4 linked regions of the Nothobranchius furzeri genome follow. The protein of the gene in region 2 interacts with the protein of the main gene of each other region in a pairwise test. Links are inferred from orthologs where the notes say so. Each region holds a gene or a part of one and is shown on either strand. Other genes may lie near its edges.

Region 1 (5,945 bases), on a different chromosome or scaffold from region 2:
TCTCCTCCCAGTCCCACCCTGCTAAAGAGGGCCTGGAAAAGTTCCCCCACACATCAAAGTGATTTTTCCTTGATGAGCTTTCATAACCTTGTTAATCAGGATAGTTGATTTGCTGCTGCACATAAACTGTCAGTCAGAAGCTCTGCTAGCCGGTTATCTTAAGAGGAGCTAGTTCAATTTGTTAGCTTGTTATCAGAATAATAGTTGCAGTTTCATCATCTGAGCTGCTTTTTAAGATCTAGGTAAACTTGTTCAATTTGGGGTTAAAACCAAACATTTTCACATATTTTCCATGTAGTTTTTTTGCCAGTTCCTCTTCTGAAAGGTAGACAATTGTTTTTCTCTTTCCCTCAGAAAATCTTAATATTCTCCTAGTTTGGCCCAGCACAGATCACTTCCCAATTGCAGCAACAGCCTTATATCATAACCACATAAGTGGAGAAAATGTTCAGTAGCAATGAGAGAATTTGCTGTTGCATTTAAGTGATGTTAACTATTATTTGACACTTAAAGTAATTTTCTGATTTTTATTTATTTATTCAAAAACCCTGGTTAGGGATGTTTTTCTGTATTTGGAGCATCAGAAAATTTTTTATGGTGGTGGTGATGTTTTAAAGTCACTGAGAAACTGCATGCATGCAGTTTGTTGTTTTGCTGCTACTACAGTAGCAGGTGGAGCTGCATATTTTTGCAATAGAAATATGTTGTAATGGAATTCATGCATTAGTTTTTGTTTGCTTTGAACCCAGAGCAGACGTCACACCCCAGACAACATCAACAATGCATACTTTAGTATAGGGCTGCTCAATTAATCGAATTTTAATCACGATTACGATCTGAGTTTTGAACGATTATAAAAAACAAAACAAGCCGATTATTTGCTCCTCCCGCTTGCGCTGCCCTGAGTTGCAAATGAAGCGCTCCTCCACAGTGTTGCCAACTTGGCGACTTTGACGCTATTTCTAGCAGCTTTTCAGACCCCCTTCTTGACTTTTTAATCCCAAAAGTACCTGGCGAACATCTCAGAAACATCTCTGGTAACCCTTAGCTACTTTCTGGATAACTGTGGTCGACGTTTCCTGCAGGTTAGCTAAACACTCCGCCTGCACTCCGGACCGTTCTTCAGGACATTAGGAAAGGGAATGATGTAGTGATGTGTCGGTCGCTAAAGACAGCTCTCGGAGCCGCTCTGCTCCCTGTTGGAGTAACCAGAGTGAGTGACACACACACCGCACCTGCGGACTCCTGAGCCGCTAAAAACAGCTAAATGTGCGCGTGCGGCGCACTAAACACACGTGCAGCGTGCCCCTGATTGCTGTGAGACCGGGTTGGGGGGTGCAGCTGTGGTTGGGACAATTATTACATTAACTGATGGACTTGTAAATAAATAGTTTGTAAATAAGGTAGAAATAAGTTCCTCACGCTGGTGATAAATAATAACTAATCTCTCTGAGGACACCGTGCTAGTGCACTCTCCTACAGCACCTTGACACAACTCAATAAATGTTATGCAACATTTTGTGAACATCAATTTATTTGCATTTATTTGTTATAAATGCCACTGTATAATTCTTGCTGTCAGTATTTGCAAGATATTGGTATTTGGTTCTGTACTGGTTAGACTTAAATGAGTTAAACCAAGGTCTACAGCCCTTGGGTCATAGACTATGAGCTATAAGTATATTGGTCTTTTATACAGGGAATCAGGAGTTCTTTTAGTGATCATCTTGTTTCTTATTTTTGTCCTGATTGTGCCCTGAGCAATTTTATGACTGAATAAAAACAAATAAAATCAACATAAATTGAAAAATCGTCCTAAATAATCGTGATCTCAATTTCAGTCACCATAATCGTGATTATTATTTTTGCCATAATCGAGCAGCCCTACTTTAGTATTTGTTCATTTATCGTGAGTAATATCGATATTGCAATATTAAGCACTGTTATCGAATATCGCAGGTTTTCCTAATGTCGTGCAGCCCTAATCTCAAGTGTTCTCAATTTGGTTTGAAATGTATTCAAGGAGATAAGTTTGGTTAATTTCCAGTTTTCCTGTAACCTGTTCCATGACTATGGAGCAGTGAATAAAAGGAAATAAAAATGTAAAAGATTGTATTAAAAATGTTAAAGCTCATTTTTAGCCTGTTTATTTTAAAAGACCTCATATCTTCGTTTGATCGTTCTCTTAGGAGTATTACATGTTTTGAATAATCGGACCATTAACTGGTAACTAACAGTTACCAGAAACCACCACACAAGTACTAACTAAACAATCTATATCTAAAACGGGACTGATCAAACATCTGTGAGCAGATCTCACGTTACCTGCTTCTTGCACCGTGAGACCTGTGCTTGAGACCTCTCTCTTCACAACAAAATCTCCATAGTCTGAAGAAAAGCGGTGACAACAGCACAGATAAAAGGTTAATGCTACAGACATGTTTCTTACCGTTGTAGTAATGACCGCCGTCCGCCATGTTGCGTTACTGAAGGGGGGAATTACGGAGTGAAAATACCCCGCGGGCTTTGACCTTTCTTTCACAAAACACAGAACAGTGACACTAAAAACAGCTCAAACACTAAATCCTGTTAAAAAAAATAGCGTAGAAGCTGAACGAAGTGAACTTCGAACTCGCTAGTAACTTAGCTTAGCGAACACCTTCTGCTAACAAGTTGAGGTCATAGCGGAAATATACGTTTGCTCAACTTCCGTTTCCGGGGCATAATTTCCCCTGGAATTCAAATATATAACTCGCGCAAGAGAAAAGCCAGTCGGTCGTAACACATATTTATACGAATACATTTGAAAACTCGTTAGCTGTAGCTTATGCCGATACTATTAGTTGCACTTACTAGGTATTTTTTTCTGGACTCAAATCGGCTCCCTTTCCACAGCTAGTGAACAGAAGTATTCAATAGAACAAAATGTTAGTGCCTAACCTTCAGTCAACTAAAAACTAAAAAAAAAAAAACTTTCATTTTAAAAATATTTTAAGATATCTGTTAACACGAAAATGATGATGCTGCAACAGTAATTTAATTTTCAGTAGATGATATACTGAGTCAATAAATATAAATACAAGAGCAATACATTACAAGCTGCAGTTACAATAACCAATAAACGTCAAGTAACAGATGCCTTTATAATGCAGAAATATAAATTATTAACATTGTTTATGTCTCAGCAAACAATCTTAAACCTTTCATGAGAAATTATGATGCAGAACAGACCAAAGTGAGTCTGAATTTAGAAAAGTAAAGTTCAATTGCTGCTGAGTATTTCATATCCAACTAAGTTTTTGAGATTTCACCGGCTTCTGTGTTTGTTACTGTTTGTAAGCCCTAGTGCGAGCCATATCGGTAACTAAAAGAAAACCATATTCCTCATACACATACTTTTATTTCCTTATTTTTCATGCAAAACATGAATTTTATACAAATTTTATGAGCAACTTTATCAAGGTCATTGGAATTTTAAATTGTGACCATATAATCTAGTCTTTAATGGTAACAATACATCATCTGATTATCTATCAGATGCATTGAAATTAACATGTGACCATGGAAATGAGAAACATGTGCTCCAGCGGGGAGGAATCAAACCGTTAGTCACGTCTAAGTTTAGAACGACTCAATCGTAACAATACATAAGAATAAATGAAAATAATGTTGACATCGTAAAGACTAAACAAAGCTGGGACAAATATTTATTTCACTTACCATCATTTAGCACACGTGTCACCACGGCTAAGTTGGAGTAGCTTTTCCAAATCGGAATCATGTGGCCAATCTAGTAGAAAATCAGATAAATCTTACACTGTTGTTTGAAATACGTTGTTACTAAAAACAAAGAATCAACTCAAATGTGCGCAGCGCGAGACAATTACAACTTACACTTTAAACGGGTTTATCGGTTTTTAGTCTTTTGAACGGAACCCACTAGATGTTAGCGTTAGCAAGCTATTTACGTTAGCATGGCGGTTTTCGAGCTACACTCAGAAGCACAGTCTGACAACCATCGATATATGTCGGTTATATTGACGCTCAAAATAATTTCCCCCAGTTTCATAATATTTTAACTAAAACGTGAATTTTCTTCCCTCTAAGATGTTAGGTTGTGTTTGTCCCACACTTTTCCTCCTATGCACGCAGTTAATGACGTGACGCCACCTGCTGGGATCGACAGAGACCAGCAGGTGTAATGTCAAGATCATCCGAGATTTACATTTTTTTTAACGTATTGTTTGCTTCTTGCTTCATTTTCCAACAAATAATACAATGTTTAAAAAAACATAAAAAATATTTTTATTCTTGTCTGATAAATGTGTTTAGAATAGAATAGAATAGAATAGAATAGACCTCATTAATCCCACTGTGGGGAAATTCACTTGCTACAGCAGCACATACACTTAGAAAAGGAAGAAAGAAAAAATTAAAGCTGCAACCAGCGTCTTCTAGCCCTCGCTTGGTGTCACTCCGGCCTAGTGTCACAACCGTGGCTGTGAGTAGTATACGGACACTCACGAAATTTTATGCAGATAAGATGATAATTGAAGTATTGAGTCTGTGGCATGATGTCTGAATTCTCCATGCCCCCAAAGCCCTAGCTACCTTCTTCTTTAGAAACCTACTAATACTTGACACAAACTGACCCCTACATGTCAGCTATTGTTTAGCATTTATGTTGATTAGGTAAAAGAGATCAACCGCCAGGAGGCGACAAACACCCGAAAATCCCTTTTTCTTCTTTATGTTGTTTGACCAAATTTTCAGATAACGTCATTGTTTAGCATATATCAACATTTATGAATAAGCCCAATGGCATTTGGCATATCAGATTGATGATATAAAATGTTTTCCCTCAGGTGGATTCTTGGTCATTGATCATATCTAGCCAGTAGGATGCTATGTGTAAGAATGGGCTTGCATGTGTCTCTGCAGATGCTTAATAACTTTTAATAATTCTGTAAAACTAGCTAAATCCCAGTTGATGTCTCAGCTTGTGGCAACAAACAGCCACAGACCTCAGGTCCTTTTTAATGTTTTAAACTGTTTAATTAATCCTGTTAATGTTGGCGCTGTTGTACCTTCTCAGAGTTTGTGTGACAACTTCCTGAAATGTTTTTTCAAATAAAATTCTGCAGATCAATAATGGAAAAAACCATCAGAACCATATTCATCTGTGTAAAGAAAATCGCAATAGGAAAATTTGATTTTGCATTACCTTCAACTGAATATCTGTTCAGCTCTGTTTAAATCCCACTCGTTGTCCAGCAGACATCTGTGACAGAAGTTTAAGATTTTAGAAACACATTTGGTTATGTTACACCCCTATCTGGTCTAGCAGGTCCAGGAGGGAATAACACGGGATTAAAAGGTGAAAGGGAACCAACCAATGACTCATATTTTAAATAAAAGAGTCCCATAAAAAAGGAACTATGATGGTTAATTGAAAACTTTAAACACAGGGCACCTCCTTACTAATAATAAGGGAGGGAAAGCTATTCAAAACTAATATTTCAAACACTAAATAGAACATCCATCCATCCATCCATCCATCCATTGTCTGTACCCGCTTGTCCATGTAGGGTCGCGGGGGGGTGGGGTGGGGTGGGGGGGTATGGGGGTTCTGGTGCCTATCTCCAGCGGTCAATGGGCAATATGGCGGGGTACACCCTGGACAAAGTGCTGGTCCATCGCAGGGCAAGTCAGAGAAACACAGGACAAACAATCATGCACACACACACTCACGCCTAAGGACAATTTAGACAGACCAATCAACCTAACAGTCATGTTTTTGGACTGTGGGAGGAAGCCGCAGTAACTAAATAGAGCAGCGGCTCAAAACTCAGTTAACTATCTAAAGGACCAACTACTCAAAACAGCTCAAAACAATAAGTCCTCTGGACATAACTAAAGGTTACTCTTAGCTAAAGCCAAACAAA
Region 2 (6,193 bases):
GAGAGAGGTGTGAAATGTACCGGATGTCAGTGAAGCAGTGATCACATGTGTGACTGCAGCGGCTACTGTGGGAGCAATAGCTTGAAGCAGCTTAGTCAGAATGGGGTCAAGTGGGCATGTAGTAGGGCGGCTGCACGTGAGAAGCTTGGACACACAGTTCTCAGTGACATATGCAGGCACCCCTCTACTCTGTTGTTTAAGATACAGTTTAGTGTGGTTGACTCGGCGTCTAAGAAACACATAGAAACAGATGTATTCTGTCTCATATACTTATTTACACTTCCTTTAAGTACTAAGCTCACTTTTAAAACCAAACTGATTATCTGTTGTTGCTATAAAATCACTGAGTCTTTCCAGCAGAAAATGCACAAACACTTTGGATAACACATTAGCCGGTGCAATCGGCCTGTAGTTATCAATACAAGATGTTTTCCCAATTTTCTCTTTTACTACAGGGACTAATGGAACTGATAGCATTTCATGGTAAGAGACCATGCTTCAAAAGACTGGTAAAGCATAATGAGAGTAGTACATGAGCTCTTGGACTAGCATACTTCATGTGCTCCGCTGATAGTTGGTCTAGGCCACACGCTTTATTTATTTTCTCAATGGCAAGGCAGACTTCATAAGCTCGGACAATCATGCCATAGTTGAACTCGATGTTACCTAAGCTGAACTCATGACTATTTACATATAGTGTTTCCCCCATAGATCTGCAGTACTCTTATCTCCAGATACTCCATTAATGGTTGCTGGTGCGGTGGTTTACTGTTGCTGGTGAGCTTTAACTCCTTCCATTTTAATGTGGCACACTGCATTCTTAAATCTAGCATTAGCAGCCTTCTTAGACTCCAGCATCGTCCCAGACCTAGGTTTGCCAGCAGCAACCCAGTCGTTATAAGCTGATAGTTATAATAATAATTATATATATATATATATATATATATATATATATATAAATTATTATTATTATTATTATTATTATTATTGTCTTGTTTTCAAACACCACTCATTTAAACACCAAATGCTGTTGGTTTTTGCCAGTCTGGGGTGTTTAGTCATACTTCAGTAAGAACTGTTCTCTCCCAGGTGGTTGACCTGCAGGTCAAAGGTTGAAATTTGAGAAACTGTTGCTTAAAGGAAACAAAGGTTTGAAAATGTTGGACCAAAAACTGTGAAATAATACAAAGATCTATTTCCTCAGTTATTTATATTTATCATCAACAATTTCTACAGCATTAAAAAAAATAAAGACGATAAAGATTATAGGCTAAAGGGAATTTATTTTCCCCCCTTCTCTGGCAGCTGTTCATCACTTCACCTGCTTCCTGGCCTCATTAGGTAACATTGTTGCACTGAGGGACCCTTCTGGCCACTTACAGAAGAAAGCAGGTCACATTCTCTTCTTCCTGCTCGACTTTAGACGAAGAAAAAGTCAAGAGAAGATTTGCTGAAGTGCTCTGATGTAGCCGGCCCAGCGGTTGTCAAGGTAATGAGTCAAAAGGGTTTTGTAATGCAGCCTCCGTTTGTCATTCTGAAGTTCAGATTAGGTTTGCACTCACCGAACCCCCCCCCCCCCCGTCCTTCTTGTATTCATCGTCGTGCTCCTCTTCATCTACTCCGTCTATCTGTCTCTCCAAGCAGCCGGATGTCAAATAACCTGAAACTAGTTCACAATCATCAGAATCAAAATCTTGTAACTCCTTTTCTTCTTCTACAGCGGTTTGCATCCTCCACGATGATGACAGGATGAATGCTATCATTACCCACAAATGCTGAAAGGATGAATTCATGTATTACTCTACTGTGAAATGAGAAGGTAGCTTTATATAACTGATGATTATTTATCAGACCAGTGATTAAATCCTTTCTGAGAAATGTTAGCTCTGGTCCATGAACTATTTGATTGGCTTCTGCGTGGATCCATAACCAGTTCGAATTAAATCTTTATTTAATTTGTTACCAACAGCCTCGCAAACACTGAAAGCTTGAGCCACAGATGATCAGCAGGGTCTCTCATGTCAGACCTTTGCTGATTTGTCTTCCTGTTTATCTTTAAATAAAACTTTCAGAATGTGTTCATTTATTGTCTCCTCCTATACTTCCTTCATTTTAAGCATTGCAGATATGGATGCAGGACGGAAAACCTGTAACTCTAAAAATGAATCCAATGTTTTAAATTATTCTCGAGTTTATTAGCAGTTATGTCGTTACGTAACTAGATCCCAACAGGAATCGGGAGGAATGTTGATAGTTCAGTCCTACATCTTGTTTATTTAGAGCTCAAAGCATGCTGTGAGCATGTGATTTTATCTTCTGTCTTTATTGCCGACCTCCCCAACATGCTCTTCTGTTTGGACCGGTCCTCCTGCCGCGGCTGCGAGAGTGTGTGTGGTCAGGTTGAATTTGTGGCCAGACTCTGTTGCACAAAATTCCTTTTCATTCGCTTGGAACAGAAAGAAAGAGGGCGAACAAAAACGGGGCGAACGTAAGCGTGAAAGAGTGAGCCCAAGGGGAGAAAAGGGGGAGACGAGAGGGTAAAAAAAAAAATCCAGGAGACATTTGTAGTTGAGTGGAGGAGCACAGACAATCCCTGGCGCATGTAAACCTCCCCTTTGCCATCTCTTTTTGTTCCATTCACTGCCTGCCACCCTCCTCTCTCACTGCCCCAGCCTGTGGCCTCTCTGCTGGACTTGGGGTGGGGGGGTTTCTCCCTATATAAAAGCCCTGTTTGTCCCCTGAATGAGCTTATTCCCTATCATGGACAGCCTTAGAGCACAGTCCTCATACAGGAGACGTTTTGGGCCGCAGAGCTCAAGCAGCTCAGGAGGTAAAATAGGTGGACTATCTTCCCACCGCCTCTCCTGGCATGGCGCCCCTCGAAGCATCACCCACTCCAGCCCCGTCTCCCGGGTCTCCCTGGGCTCCTCCAGCACGGCCTTGCTGCTGGGCAGCCCCGTTGACCGGCTGGACTTCTCAGCTGACTCCTTGTTGAAGGCCCAGTACAAAGAAACTCGTACCAACGAGAAGATGGAGATGATGGGCCTGAACGACCGCTTTGCCAGCTACATAGAGAAGGTGCGGCTTTTGGAGCAGCAGAACAAAGTTCTGGTGGCAGAACTGAACCAGCTGAAGGGGAAGGAGCCTAGCCGCCTGGGGGACATCTACCAGATGGAGCTGAGAGATCTACGACGGCAGGTGGACGATCTCACCAATGGCAAGGCTCGTCTGGAGATAGAGAGGGACAACCTGTCTGCAGACCTGGGCACGCTCAAGCAGAGGTAGGAGAGAACGGTCCCAAAGTAGACCTGGGCCTTTGTGTGTCTTGTGTGCTCGCTGTCCTATTGATGCTTCACAGAAATAATGATGGGATTAAAACTTTTCCCCTAGTCTTTTCTTCCCATCAGCTTATAAATCCAGGAGAAAACCGGAACAGCCCCCAAAAAAGTCTCAGTGCTTCAAACTACATAAAGAGGAGTAATTTGACCTTGTGAAGAATGTTTTTGTTAATTCCTGTAAATACACCTGTCATGTCTGTATTTACGTAGCGCTTCTGTTTACATGTGTTTGTGGTTGGTTGGAATGCAGAGCGCTGTGGTCTGCCTGGGCTTTACTCCTCTATCCCTCTTTACAAACGTGATCCTGACTGAACCCTCGCTGCCATTCAGTCAGTGTGGAGGAATGAAGCAGCACAATGGTGGCGCTCCACAAAGGGAACAGAATGCCAGGCAGATGTAGCTTTCCTCTCTTTCTCCAAAGCACAAAGTCACCACCGCTGGTTATCCGGCTCCTTTTCTCCACATCCACCATCACGCCTCATGTCAGCTTTTTCATTTTGAGACAGGCCAATAGAAAGTCTCAGGGTGGAAACTGGAGGGTTTTTTTTTTTTTTGCCCTCTGACCAAGCAGCTGCTGGTCCTGTGAGAGATTGCAGGATGAATAGGGATGCTGCTGCTTCAGGGGTTAAAGGTCACCTTTTTTAAAATTCGTGCTGCTCTTTCTGTTAGCAACCTCTGCATGAAGCTGCATGATGTCACTCTACGTTTCATTTGCTTCTAGTGGGTAGGATCAGTCTGTGTGCTGCGCTGACACGGATTCTCTCTCTCTCTGTGTGTGTGTGTGTGTGTGTGTGTGTGTGTGTGTGTGTGTGTGTGTGTGTGTGTTCCATCCCGTGGGAAAGGTCTCCTCCGGCTGTTAGATTAGACTGGAAGTGTAATGATGCGTAAGCCGCTGCTCTTTCAGCTGAGTCCTGCCACTCCTCTGCAGCTCAGTAGAAGACAAAACAAAAATCTGAACACATTTTTAAAATACGTTTAATTTTTCTTAATTAAACTTTAGCTAACTAAACTTTGCGCAGGAGTTTGTTTTTTCTGACCCAAGGACCCCAGACATTGTGCTCTCATTTGTGATATATATATATATATATATATATATATATATATATATATATATATATATATATATATATATATATATATATATATATATATATACATATATACATATCAAATGTTTCAGAAATATTTTAGTGTAATTTAATTCCTCCTGGCTGGGAACTCTCAGTAAGAAGCTCTTCACATTTTTCTTGACTCAGGCTGCAGGATGAAATGGGCCTCCGACAGGAAGCAGAGAACAGCTTGAACGCCTTCAGACAGGTGGAAATATTAGTAATATTAAAAAATCTTTAAAATATTGACAATCTCAATGTTGTTTGCTGTCATCCTGCGATGTTTCTCATTATTCACACAGGATGTGGATGAAGCAGCGCTCAGTCGGGTCCAGTTGGAGAGAAAGATCGAGGCCCTGCAGGATGAAATTAATTTCCTGAAGAAAATTCATGAAGAAGTATGAAGAAACGCTGAAGTTGGTCCAAAACAACTAGACAGATTTTAGCAAAATCACGACTTTTGCCACGTTTTTCTTCCAGGAGCTGCGTGAGCTGCAGGAGCAGATCATGGCCCAACAGGTCCACGTTGACGTGGATGTGTCAAAACCAGATTTAACTGCTGCTCTGAGAGACATCAGAGTTCAGTACGAGAATATGGCCACTTCAAACCTGCAGGAGACAGAGGACTGGTACCGATCCAAGGTCAAATATTTTACTTTTAAAGGAGGGATTTACTCATTTATTCAATACTTGTGCAGTGTTCTTTAGTGTAATTCAATGCCTTATGAGCCATAAAAAAAAATAAAGCTATGATGCTCCTGTTATGAGATGCAGATGTTTTCTGGTGCAGAGATGGACTGAAAACAGTAGAATTACTCATTACTATTATTGAATTGCACACGTCTTGCTTCTGATTGGCTAACAGAACATGTTCAGCCATGTCACTGTCACCAAAACACCCTCCGCTCGCTCTCCCTGCTGCAAAAAAAACAAGCCTTCCTGTGGACGGGCGCTTGCCAAGATGGGCGAGACCATGAATGCAAATTCATAGTGTGACATAGATGTGTGAGGATTTTAAAATCCTAGAGTTTCACCATCTATTTTCTATCAGAAGGTAATGCAGGAGATAGGTGTAGGAGACTATTTTCATGTTCACCCTGCATAAAAAACTCAAACTCAACTTTTAACTCATTCACTACCAATGACGACTAAAGTCACTGGCTTTTTTTAACGGGGCTTTGACGATAAACATCAGCTCTAAAGTATATTTTCACCTGTGTGTGTCACATGTCATGTGATCAGGAAGCAGACAATCAATGAATTAGGAAATCGGTTTGGGACACCGCTATGCCTAAAGCGAGGCACAAACCGGAAAAGCTTCTGCGGCTCACACGTGGACAATGGATTGTGAAAGAACACGCTGACTCTACTCTTTCTTTTGGTAGTTTTGGTGTTTACGTGGTCCTAGAGCACAATACTCTGTGAGTCTGGCAGTCGGGGGCTTTCTGTTCAGAAAACGGTGGCAGTGAATGAGTTAAAAAATAAAATAAAAGAAACGCTCAAACCTCTTGCATTGTGACTGAGAGCTTATTGTGGAAATTTTTGTGAAGAGTAAAAGTTGTTATTTTAGAGTAAACATCCAGATAATCTATTTATACATTTTATTTCCTTTGTAGTTTGCTGACCTGACAGACGCAGCCAATCGAAATGCAGAAGCCCTGCGTCAGGCCAAGCAGGAGGCCAATGACTACCGCCGTCAGGTCCAAGTGTTGACCTGTGACCTGGATGCTCTTCGTGGCACAGTAA
Region 3 (5,990 bases), on a different chromosome or scaffold from region 2:
AAATGTGCTGGAACTTTTATTAATGAGCCCGTTCTAGTCGCCAGAGGTGGATAATGATGAGGTCACTCGTCCATCAGAGTTAAATCACACATAGAATCATTCTCCTGCCCTTTAAAGTTTAGTAACTAACTCTAACGTGCACGATTAGAAACAAAAGCAGATTATTAGGAAAAGATGGGGTTTTGGGCTGTGAGGTAACAGTGTTAGCCACCACATCATTGCACCAACCACCTGGTGGAACATCTGAGCCAATTAGGATAACCGACAACAGCTCAGAGACGCCATAAAATGCAACAAATGTGGTCATTTCATTGCCTGCAGTACACAACATCACTGAAATATTCAGATAATTAAAGGAAATCTGTGTATGCAAACGATTCCTGAGTGTTCATGATCCTTGGGCCATTTAAAGCCTCAACAATTCTGGGTTCAGAGATGCATAAAAAACATGTTGTCTTTAAAAACCCACCTTTCATCAGGATTCTGAAGCTTTGCCAACATCTCTGGACATAAACTCTAGCAGGCTGTTGTTCTGTCTAACCTTACTGGCATGTAAATCCTGCAAAAAAGTCAAGTTAGCCACATTTAGTTTGATTGTAGGAAGCAAAAAAATAAAAAAATAAAATAAAATCACAAGCATTCTTCTAAAGATCTGAGTGCTAAACAGTACTGACAGGAACCCAGGAACTGATCATGACCATTTACTTTGTTACTGCTCAATGCAAAAAGGAGTAAAATGCCTAATTTAACAGTTTTCCCTTGTAAATTTGAAAGAGACACTTTTGACTGTGTGCAGTTTGTGCTGCACTTCTTACAGCATAGAACAGGAGGCTGTAATGTGATCCACATTCTTGCAGGCTGTCCGGAACCTGGATAATGGATGCCCTTGCATCTTTCCACCATCAGCGACTAATTTCTATCAATGTGCCTTAATGCTTCTAGTGGTAATGCCCTATTAAGGGCAGCAGTGTGCCAAAAAAATAAAGAAAATGTGCCAACTCAAAGGTTTTCTGACAGAAATCAATGCACTGAATATGATTTAGAGCTTATAACAGAATCAGTGTTTTTCCAACATGCATAAGAAGTTTATTTTTTTAGAATCATTTGATATTTTACTAAAGCAGAATCAAAATGAAAATAAAAGTTTCCATCTAGTTTAGAAAAAAATGTCCTATATCAGCCACAAATAAGGTAAAGACAGATGATTATTTCCTTCATGATTCATTTAATTTAATTTGTAATTTTAGTTATTGCTTACCTTTATTTTAAAATATTTGAGATGCTATTATGAAGTCCCCTAGTGTCCAAGTCCTCATGCTTGCTCCTAGAATTTGACATTTATGACACGTTTCTGTAAAAACACACCTTTGTCCAGTCCATATGACAGCAGTACAAGACCTTCATACCTACAGCTACAGTAACAATAAACAATACACCCACGTTTACTGGGAACATCATAAAAAACCTTGTAGACGGAGTACGTACATGACAAACTACAATAAAACCTCTGTGAAATAAATCCTCGTTCTCTTCACTGAGTGCTAGAGATTATCTAAATCAAACTAATAAAAGTAATAAAAAATAAATAAACCACACATGAAAATATAATAAAAAATATCCATATTGAATTTAATTGGACATTTATTTTTGCTAAATGTTGTTTTTCCACAACATAAACTTTCATAAATCAGATACTAAGTATGTTTTCTTAATCTTAATGGCTGATGGCCTCTTCTGTGTGTTTTATTCATGAATTTTAGATAAATAAACATAAACAGGATGCAGTCTTGTGGATTCTGACTATGATGTGTGAACATGGCTGTTCAGCAGCCACCTGCTGCAAACTTTGAAAAATAAATAGATGACTGCTCGCACTCGACAGACTGCAAAGAGCCTCAGACACTCATGACACAAGACGTTGTTAAATAACTCTTTAGGCTGAACTTTGACCTGTCAAAGTCCCTTAGGGAGGTGGGGAGGGGGGAGTGCAGGTTTAAGATGCCATAACAGCTAATCAGTGACAGGTGAGCTCCCCCTTTAGACGCAGACACTCAACAGAGGAGAGTCGGTGAGTGAAATGTTTATTTTACTCTTTATTTTTTATTGTTATACTTTTTTTTAAATAAATTTGGGGAAATTTTAAGATTCATAAAGGTTTCCTGTGGAGATTAAAGAACACGTTTAATCATTTGCTGGAAAACCTCTGATACTTTAACAGGTGAAAAAATATCAACAAGTTAAAAACGGTGTTATCACTGTTTGTTGCTTTGGGTTTATTGATATTATTTTCCAATTTTTAAGTATTGAACAGAATAATCTACTTCTTTGGGGCTCTTAATATTAAACTAGCTTTATATTTTGGTGAAAAAGCTGTTAAAATCAAATCTAATACGACGTAAACTTTATAACCACATTACAAATATGTACCGCTTTTAAATAACTATTAAACTTTTAATAGTTGTATCAATACTTCAGCTGTAAGCACAAGTAAAAAAAACAAGATTAATAAAGTCAAATGAAGCATACAGCTAAACATTTCTTTTATAAGGATAAAATAAATATTACACCTTTTTAACTCTAAGATAAAGGTCATAACTCTATTTTAAGTTGTTATTAGTGTGTTTTTAATTATTTAATTGCCTAAATTATACATTGAAATAGTTAAAACTAATTAAAATACATTTTGTATTTAATACATCATGAAAACAAACCCAAAGTTTTTATTAATTTACAAATTTCTTAAACGTTGCAATGAATCTCGTTTAAGACATGAGTGTTTGCGTTTTTAATATAAGCACACCTGCCTTTTATAGCATCCCGCTGAGAGTTAAACCCACAACCCTTAATTTGGATTCAAAGTCCAGTGATTTTTATTTCACTGTCAGCTGTGTGTCCTGCAAATCATTACATGCCTGTTGTCATGGAAGAGTAACTTTTCATCCTCTATCAGCACTTCTGTCACGTCTTTATGTGCTGAAGTATCCACTCTGATAAATATGCTTAATGCGTAGCACAATAGATTACAAGGTGAACTAATTTATGATCGTCAACAAATGTAAAGGGGAAAAACAGCTGTTTAAGTTCGATTGCATTTTCCAATCTCAAAGCTCTAAAACCAAAATAAGTCTAAGGCTTAACTGGCTTGGTCAAATTTATTGACACTTTAAAGGTGTGGAACACTCAGTTAATCAATGCATCGGCAATGATCTCTAGCAGAAAGAAATGGATTCTAATTTATGATGCTCCTGTTTCAGCACAGAGAAGTAAGCTGAAGGAGAAAGTAGCTTCAGACAACAAGATTAGTAGTTTTATTTCCTGATATTTGGTCATCTTGCATTGGATTGGCTAACAGCAACGTGACAAAAGTTAACGTTTTATCTCCACAAATAACTCAACCCTGAAGGAGTTCTGCTGTGTGGTGGAGTTGCTAATGCTAACTAGATTCCACTAGCCAAGACGTTCTCTGCTGATTCCTGGATGCTAAACCAACAACAGCCTTCCCCATCACGAGTCAAGATGGGTGAATCCATGCATGGATATAAATTTTGGTGTGTGTGTGTGGTTGGGGGGGGGGGGGGGGGGGGCATGTCACCCCCCCCCCCCCCACACACACACACACCCCACACCCACGCACACTTTTGCCAAAGTCATGTTTTGACCCCTGCACTTTTTATCGTCCAAAAACAATATTACTCTATATTAAGTAGACACTGGTTGAGCTCTAGGACCAAGTGGAAAACAACTGTTTGTGTTGAAGCCTGTTTCCCATTAGAACATACTGAAAAGATTCCCGCTGGTCCTCGGTTGTCCCCCCACCCCTTACGCCTAAGACTTAACTATATATATATATATATATATATATATATATATATATATATATATATATATATATATATATGTGTGTGTGTGTGTGTGTGTGTGTGTGTGTGTGTGTGTGTGTGTGTGTGTGTGTGCAATACAAGGGAGACGATATGATTTACTGTGAAGTTAAAAGCTGACAATATTTGCAGATGTTAAAACAGTTTTATTTGAAAACTGAGGCCAAATGCTTCCAAGACACATTCAGTATTATTGTGAGATCTCGCTGGTTTGTCAGAATGAAGGCAGTAAAAGCTGCTGCCACCTAGCGGCCGGAGTTTGAATTGCACCACACAAAAGAAGTACAATACATACAGAATATTGCGATATTACATTGTCTCAACATTTTCTTGCATCTCTGTTAAGTACCGTTTATTATTTCTTTGTTCATGTTAGGACAATGGCCACGTACACGCCAAGGGTGATCTCCCTGGCCAAGAGGCCTGGTCAGACATTTGGCTTCTTTCTGAGGGTGGAGCAAAGTAAGGAGGGCCACCTGATTCGCTGCCTGGAAATGGGAGGTCCAGCTGAACTGGCTGGTATGAAAGATGGAGACCGCATCCTTCGGGTCAATGGAAAATTTGTCGATGGGCTTACCCATTCAGAGGTGAGCAGAATGTAGATACACAGCAGATCCAATCACCAGCAGTGAATTTCCATGGTGTCCCTCTACTAGGTGGTGGAGCTGGTGAGAAACAGTGGAGCATCTGTCACATTCCACATTCTGGATGAATCGTCTTACAATCAAGCAAAAACACTCGGAGTGAACCTCTCCGACCCTCAAAGCTCACCCATTGCCAACGGATTGGCTAAAGAAGATTGGAAGCCCAAACTCTGCTACCTGGTCAAATCTAAGTCAGGATTTGGGTTTTCCATTAGCTCATTTAAAGGTAAGGTACATTTGTAAAGGGTTAAAGAAAATCTACAATTCTCAAGATTGCAACTTAAAGTCTAAGTCAATGTTAGCAGTATTTAAATGTTTATGCAAAAAGAAAAAAATACCTTTTAATTAACCCATTTGTGCAATTTTAATACTTGGATTGGCTACTTTCACAACTCATTTTATTTATTATTTATTTTCATAAAGTAATTAAGTCAGAAAAAAATGATCTATTGAAACACAAGCTATGATTGGGTTTGTCTTTTTCATTTGAGAAGTACACCAATAACATTTGAACTACTTTGACCCTATATCTGAGTTGTCCTACATGCTACTATGACTTATACTTGTACTTCACTCTGAAGTTGTTAGATGAGTAACAGAACACACCTATGATAACATAAACCACTCCTATGTGGTTTTCCATCAGCAACAGCAACACTCTCACCCTTAGCAACACATGTTATCTGCTTATCTATCTATATGCCTTATGACTATAGGAGAGGAGGGTCTGTTCATGACTGAGGTGATTCGGGGGGGTGTGGCGGACAAAGCAGGAGTTCGTGCCAAAGATCGTCTAATTGAAATCAATGGTGAGAACGTTGAAAAATGCACCCACGAGGAAGCAGTGAACAAGATAAAACAGGGGGGCAACAGCGTGATGTTTCTGCTGGTTGATGAGGAAACCGACAAATTCCATCAGAGCAAACAAGCAAAATTAGGTTCGTGGAGAGCAACAGTCAAGTATCTTCCTCTCCATCCACGCATCGTCAAAATGACCAAAGGATCAGATGGATATGGCTTCCTGCTCAGAGAGGAGCCCAACCAAGCAGGCAAGGCCATGGTAACATGCTGTACTTTTCACTCCGGAGTGATGGCCTAATAATGTACTCCTTTACTTCTTTCAGGACACTTCATGAAGGAAGTAGATAAAGGCAGTCCAGCGGAAAAAGGTGGTCTGATGGAGAATGACGTAGTTGTCGCTGTGAATGGCAAAGAGGTGGACGGCTACAGTCATGAGCAAGTGGTGGACTGGATCAAGCAAAGTGGAGACAAATGCTGCCTCCTTGTGGTGGACAAAGAAACACAGCAAATGTATAAGAAGGTGAGCCATAGACCTAACCTGGAAAGCCAACTTATATTTGTAAAAGTCTGGTCACGAGTCACTGAAACCACCCAGCCATGAGGCTAAATCTACGGTTGTCTTTCAAACTGTCTATGCATGCAACTGGACAGTGCTAGGACCAGTCAG
Region 4 (6,137 bases), on a different chromosome or scaffold from region 2:
ACGATGTCATAATTTACGCAGTTTGGTGGTCTCCTACAGAGGGCCATAAAAAAATGTTTTTCTTCTAATCATTAAATGTGACACAGCCACCCTCCCGGTACTCCGAGTCATGGACGTAGTTTTGGGGGGGTCAGGGGGGACATGTGTACCCCCCACCCCCACTTTTTCCATAGTCTTTTTCTGTCCCCAGCACTTTTTACCGTCTAAAAACAACATTACGCTATATTAAATAGACACTGGTCGAGCACAAGGACCTAGGGGAAAACATCCGCTTGTGTTGAAGTCCGTTTCATATTAGAACCATCCTTGAGGTCATCTACTGGCTCTGCTGATACATGCTAACGTGTGATTGGCCATTCCTGCCACCTGTGTACTTGACAGTCCTGCATTCCTGACATTGCATAAATAAGCCTCTAGGCCAGGGGTGTCAAACTCATTTTAGCTCAGGGGCCACATTGAGGAAAATCTAGTCCCAAGTGGGCCGGACCGGTAAATTAAACACAACTTTAGATTGTTTTCTTTGTTTTAATACAATCACTATAAAACAAAGCTGGAGCCTGAGAACAGTGTATTCAAAATAGTACAAGTACAACACCTGAAGTGTACTTGAAAATTTGAAGAAAAAAAAAATATATATATAATATATATATATATTTATATATATATATATATATATATATATATATATATAATTAAATAAAACATTCCTTAGTGATTCAGAGCTTACTGATAACATGGCTAGATCAGTTCCATGCAGCACTTAAAGTATATTTGACTCATTTTGCTTTACATCTTTTAGCTTTCACCAGCACATCAATATCAGAAGTCACATCCTGAGTGGCGGCCAACTTCAGGATGTGATTCAAGTTCTTGTGTGAGCCTTGAGCGCAGCTTTGTATTATTTATACTCATTACAGAGGAAATTTGCTCACAAAGATAAGTTTATTTTCACTCTACATTGTAAAGTATGAAAATAAAGTTTACACAACCATCTCGCGGGCTGGAGTTAACCTGTTTGCGGGCCGGATCCGGCCCGCGGGCCGTATATTTGACACCCCTGCTCTCGACTGTACTTTTATACATAGTTATTGTATACTTACTGTAAAGACCCCCCCCCCACACACACACACACAAACACCACACACACACACACACACACACACACACACTTCTAAAGTCAAAACTACGTCCATACTCTGAATGGACTAAATTATAGCGCATATTATGAGGTTCCGAACCTCATATTGGTGGCTTCAGTTCAAACACTGAAACCCACATCATGAAATATTAAGTGTAGCTTTATCTTTTACGCTGAACCTTCAGACATGCAGACTTTGCATGTGGGCTTTTGTCTGAGCTGTGCCACAGGTGAGGCTGTTTGCTTAAGGGGCTGGTGACACACGTATTTTTGTTAAACAAGGGCAGGACTTCTGGTGAGCTTCTGTATGCTCATCTAGATGATTAAAATTCAGTAAAGGTATGACAAAAGCAATGTGTAGTTTTAAATATCAGAAAATGAAAGCAGGGTTTAGTGAGGAAGTATCTATGGGTGTGTTTAGATCAGTCTGTCTGCCAAAAGCACCCCCACCCACCCCACTTTCCTTGCAGGAATTCGGGCTTTGGGAGTGGCACAGTCCACATCCTGGGATTTTACTCTACCATAAATGGTAAGCGCGCACATAACATGATGACGTCAGGGCAGGTCTGCATCCCTAACTAAAACAGAGATCATGAGAGGGTAAAATCCGAGGAGGCACCGCTCTGCTCCACCTTAAAGAACTTTAGTTGCATGAACATTTTTCGTAGTAGACAATTAATCACTTTTAAGTAGCATCAGTTTGTCATTTTGGGACACATAATGTTTTAATAAAGCTAGTTTCTGTAATATTACTGTAACACAGGGCTCGGGTGTAGGGTAGGGGCTATTTTAGTGTTCCTGCACGTTAAAAGAGGATGATATTATACAAATATTCTCTTCTGTAGGAGCGTGCGACATTCAATAATTATTTATTTAAGAAAACAAATAACTGTACCGTCACGTGATCAAGAGCAGAGCTAGTTTGTTTACTGACATGGAAACGCGCCGTAGTGAGACATCTTCCTAATACACGATCTCCATAGTATCAGCGAGGAAACGCGGACTTGCCCAACTGAAGGTGAAGGGTCCGCCTTCTGGTTAAATGCTGGCGAGCTGCAGTCAGGCTCAGACCTCGGGCTGCTCAGGAACCGCGCCACAAGTGTGAACAAATAATCTTTTAGCTGCACTTACGACACTCACGTGATGCCTCTCCAGGTTACGTTGGAGGGTCCTGCACCCTGGGGCTTCCGGCTCGTCGGGGGCAAAGACTTCGAGCAGCCTCTGGCCATTTCTCGGGTGAGTTGAACTTTTTTTAAACATGGACTCGTGAAAAATCCACCCCGTTGTAACAGTTTCTAAAATTACAACACAGAGTGAAAGCAGAGTAAGACCTCATCTGGTAGGTTAAGTGTAGGCTAGTTAGCATTAGCTTCATCTGTTTGTTTTTTTAGCGGCGGTCAAGCGAGCCGACATCTAAACATACGGTCAAGCCAGCTGACGTTTACAAGCGGCTAGTATTTACTTGCTCGTTTACATCGTGTATTACGGTTGAGTCGTTGTTTGATCGTGCAGTCTGCAGAGCTACGTTTTTGATGAAATTGGCAGCATATTTGTCCAAAAGTATTATTTAGTTTTACATGTTTTATATTTACCGCGACAATGCAGGGATTCTTTGCATTCCTAATGTCCTTTTTGGCACTCGTAAGGAACTTTTACCGTAATATCTGATGTATGCGTGCAAGAAAATCTTTCTCTAATTTTAAACAGCCATAAACTAGTAATTTTCTCTCTGGTTGTCAGCAGACGTGGAAACCCAGCCTTTTTATGGTTGTGACATGTTTTAGCCCTTTTGCCTTTTATTTTACAACTATGAACAGTCACGCTGAGTTTTTTCTACAGATGAGTAACGGTGACGCTCCTGAAACTGTGAGGTAGCAGATTATGACTCTGCTGTGTACTTTGCCTCAGTAGGGAGTACTCTTGTTTTTTTTTCTTGTTATAAACACCACCCATGGAAATGTGAGGATGAGGAATTCCTGGACTGTGCTTTTCATTTTATCTGCTCATATCTGGATGAAAAGTCTGCCCAGTGGGCCAATAACTGATGATAAATGATAAATGACCTGCACTTGTATAGCGCCTCTCAGAGTAAGGACTCCAAAGCGCTTTACACTAGTGTATCATTCATCCATTCACACACACACACATTCATACACTGGTGGTGATGAGCTACGATGTAGCCACAGCTGCCCTGGGGCGCACTGACAGAGGCGAGGCTGCCGAGCACAGGCGCCAGCAGGCAAGGTGGGTTAAGTGTCTTGCCCAAGGACACAACAGCAGAATTATCTGTCCGGAGCCGGGATCAAACCTGCAACTTTCCAATTACTGGACAACCCGCTCAACCTGTTGAGCCACTGCTGCCTGTTCCTAAGTGGCTCTGCTACCGTTTACTGAAAACTCAACAATGTGTGCAGCTTTCAGACCATAAATATTTTTCAGGAGTATTTTTCCCCAAATGTTCTACAGATGTATTAATAATTACATACAACTGTTGTGAAGGTGTCCAGTACCCCCAAACCTACTGATGAGTACTTCCGTAATGTTCTTTGTTGCAGGTGAACCCTGGGAGTAAAGCAGCTGAAGCCAACCTGCACATGGGGGACATCATTGTTTCCATCAACGGAGAGGCAACCGAGAACATGACTCACTTGGAGGCACAGAACAAGATCAAAAATTGCGTTGACGGAATGGTGCTCTCTATAGACAGGTGGGCTGTCTGAACCACGTTGGTCTCTGCTTTTTGCAGATGATGTGGTCTAGGGCTGCAACAAACGATTATTTGGATCATCAGTGAATCGGGTGGGGTCTCGACTCTATTAAACGGATTAAACGGGAAAATTTAAATCAATCAAACTTTATTTAGAAACCGCTTTTCATACAAAAAATGTAACTCAGAGTGCTTTACAGGTTAAAAAGACCCCACATATCCCACAAATGTCATTAACTAAATTACTTAATTAAAAACTACTAGGGAAACATTTTCTCTCTCTCCTCTCTTTACTTTATTAACAACAAAACATGATTAGAAAACAGTTCAATAGCATGCGAAACAACACGTAGTATATCCATGATTAAACTATGATCAGTACAGTTTGATGTATTTCATTGACATGTTCCATAGTAAGCGACTGGAAATGCTAATAACATTTAATTTCTACTGCTAAAAATGTAATGGTGACATATTTAGGATGCACGGTTTGGCAATAATCCAGTTTAAATTATGTTCACAGATAGACGCATTTGTGAATTAGATGCTACAGGGGCTTGCCATAATCCCGCTGCGGTGTGCAGCAGAGCAGACTCAATCCTGACAGCAGTTGTTCTGCTCCGTAGAGCTGCAGACAGCTAAGAATAAACAGGATGGTGAGGTCTTTTCTTCCACATAGAGTTTAAATGTTCTTAGTTTCGCAACCATCGTGTTTTTATTGTGAGCCTGCTACCCGCTAGCATTAGCTAGTCTGCCCGTATTTGCGCTTTTGATCCCAAATTGTTTCTGCCTTTGTGTCTTTGCTGGTATCCGTTTTCCTCCACAGCACCTAGATTAGCACACGGTGCGTCAGTAAGCGTGTCGTTCCTCATCAAAACACCGGCTTTCTCTCTCCTGATCTGCCTCCATCTGCTCTGTTGCCTCCTACACAAGAACTTCGCACATTCACTGTTAAATAAAGGTTGCGCAACACAACAAATCGATGACGAAATGCGTTACCAATGCATTTCGTCGTCGATTTTTATCGATTCTTTGTCGCAGCCTTAATGTGGTCTTGTTGGCTTAACCGGACAGCGATCTCCATCTTTCGCTGGAGCGGTTCGCAGCTGAGTGTGAAGCAGCTGGAATGAGAATCGGCTCCTCTAAATCGGAGAACATGGTCTTAAATCGGAAAAGGGTAGAATGCCTTCTCCAGGTCAGGTTTGAGGTCCTGCCTCGAGTGGAGGAGTAAGTGTCTCAGGGTGTTGTTCACGAGGGAAAGATGGAGCTCGGAGTTGACCCGCTGCTCCTCCACGTCGAGAGGAGCCAGTTGAGGTGGCTCGGACATCTGGTCAGGATGCCTCCTGGACGCCTCCCTGGCAGGGGCGGATTTAGGACTGAAGAAGATCCGCGCGCGTGACACGCACTAGTCAACATCATATATATTACAAATCACAAATATTTTCAAGTAAGACTCACAAACCGGAGTCAACACCAGTCTCATCAAAGCTGGGGTTCTGTCGCGGTACTTTTTGACTAAAAACGTCTTTATATCCATCTTCACATTTGCGTTTCAGACAGAGACTAGAAGAAGCCAGGCACTGTAGAAGAAGCCGGCTGCTGAAGGGCTTCTACAGTGGTGGAGGCTCAGGCAGGCTGTATACAAACTACTGCCAGCTGCTCCCTCTCTGTTGGACTTTGGTACTGCATGTTACTTCCGCGATTTAGATTCGGGGCTTTTCATGAAACATCCGGGGGTTCAGCCCAAGTAGCCGGGCCTAACGCCGCCCCTGCTCCCCGGTGAGGTTTTCTTGGCACATCCAACTGAGAGAAGACTCAAGGGAAGACCCAGGACATGCTGGGCGGACTATGTCACTCACCTGGCCAGGGAACGCCTTGGGTTTCCCTCGGAAGAGCTGGCCCAAGTGGCTGGGGAGAGGGAAGTCTGGGCGTCTCGACTTAGGCTACTGCCCCCGTGACCCGATTCCAGATAAGCGATGAAGATGGATGGATGTGGGAAGACTGGCTGACCCCACCCACTCGATATTGACATGAATAATAAATGAGCTGTGAGCTAATTGGCCGGTTTACACAAACAACTTCTCTATGATGCTGCATTCCCAGGACATCCTGGAACTTTACATGCGTGCTTTGACATTTTCCTCTTGTCCAACAAAGATGTTGGCAGTAGGGCTGCAACAATTATTTGGATCATTGATTAATCGAATGGGGTCTCGACTCGATTAATCTGATTAAGCGGGAAAATTTAAAAACTGCTAGGGAAACATTTTTTCTCTCCTTCCTTTACTTTAA

The links. The genes of interacting proteins can lie anywhere in the genome.
Region 1: the proteins of gfap (region 2) and nxf1a interact in a two-hybrid assay, tested with the Homo sapiens proteins (3 studies listed by BioGRID and IntAct). The two-hybrid records come from large-scale screens. The link is inferred for Nothobranchius furzeri from reciprocal best matches to the Homo sapiens genes GFAP and NXF1.
Region 3: the proteins of gfap (region 2) and pdzk1 interact in binary tests that used the Homo sapiens proteins (3 or more experiments, as listed by UniProt). The link is inferred for Nothobranchius furzeri from reciprocal best matches to the Homo sapiens genes GFAP and PDZK1.
Region 4: the proteins of gfap (region 2) and pdlim1 interact in binary tests that used the Homo sapiens proteins (3 or more experiments, as listed by UniProt). The link is inferred for Nothobranchius furzeri from reciprocal best matches to the Homo sapiens genes GFAP and PDLIM1.

Annotation. Positions count from the first base shown.
Region 1 is NC_091741.1:88,147,011-88,152,955, forward strand, and holds the start of nxf1a (nuclear RNA export factor 1), read right to left. Parts: upstream 4,014-5,945; 5' UTR 3,895-4,013; intron 3,791-3,894; 5' UTR 3,782-3,790; coding exon 3,721-3,781; intron 2,680-3,720; exon of another isoform or gene 2,478-2,679; coding exon of another isoform or gene 2,450-2,477; intron 2,389-2,449; coding exon 2,326-2,388; intron 1-2,325.
Region 2 is NC_091745.1:10,094,596-10,100,788, forward strand, and holds the start of gfap (glial fibrillary acidic protein), read left to right. Parts: upstream 1-2,725; 5' UTR 2,726-2,742; coding exon 2,743-3,281; intron 3,282-4,594; coding exon 4,595-4,655; intron 4,656-4,749; coding exon 4,750-4,845; intron 4,846-4,927; coding exon 4,928-5,089; intron 5,090-6,063; coding exon 6,064-6,189; intron 6,190-6,193.
Region 3 is NC_091754.1:24,603,692-24,609,681, reverse strand, and holds the start of pdzk1 (Na(+)/H(+) exchange regulatory cofactor NHE-RF3), read left to right. Parts: upstream 1-1,977; 5' UTR 1,978-2,068; intron 2,069-4,254; 5' UTR 4,255-4,258; coding exon 4,259-4,465; intron 4,466-4,534; coding exon 4,535-4,748; intron 4,749-5,238; coding exon 5,239-5,571; intron 5,572-5,646; coding exon 5,647-5,843; intron 5,844-5,990. UniProt on the Homo sapiens protein: A scaffold protein that connects plasma membrane proteins and regulatory components, regulating their surface expression in epithelial cells apical domains.
Region 4 is NC_091752.1:6,247,321-6,253,457, reverse strand, and holds the start of pdlim1 (PDZ and LIM domain protein 1), read left to right. Parts: upstream 1-2,124; 5' UTR 2,125-2,281; coding exon 2,282-2,374; intron 2,375-3,693; coding exon 3,694-3,845; intron 3,846-6,137. UniProt on the Homo sapiens protein: Cytoskeletal protein that may act as an adapter that brings other proteins (like kinases) to the cytoskeleton. Involved in assembly, disassembly and directioning of stress fibers in fibroblasts.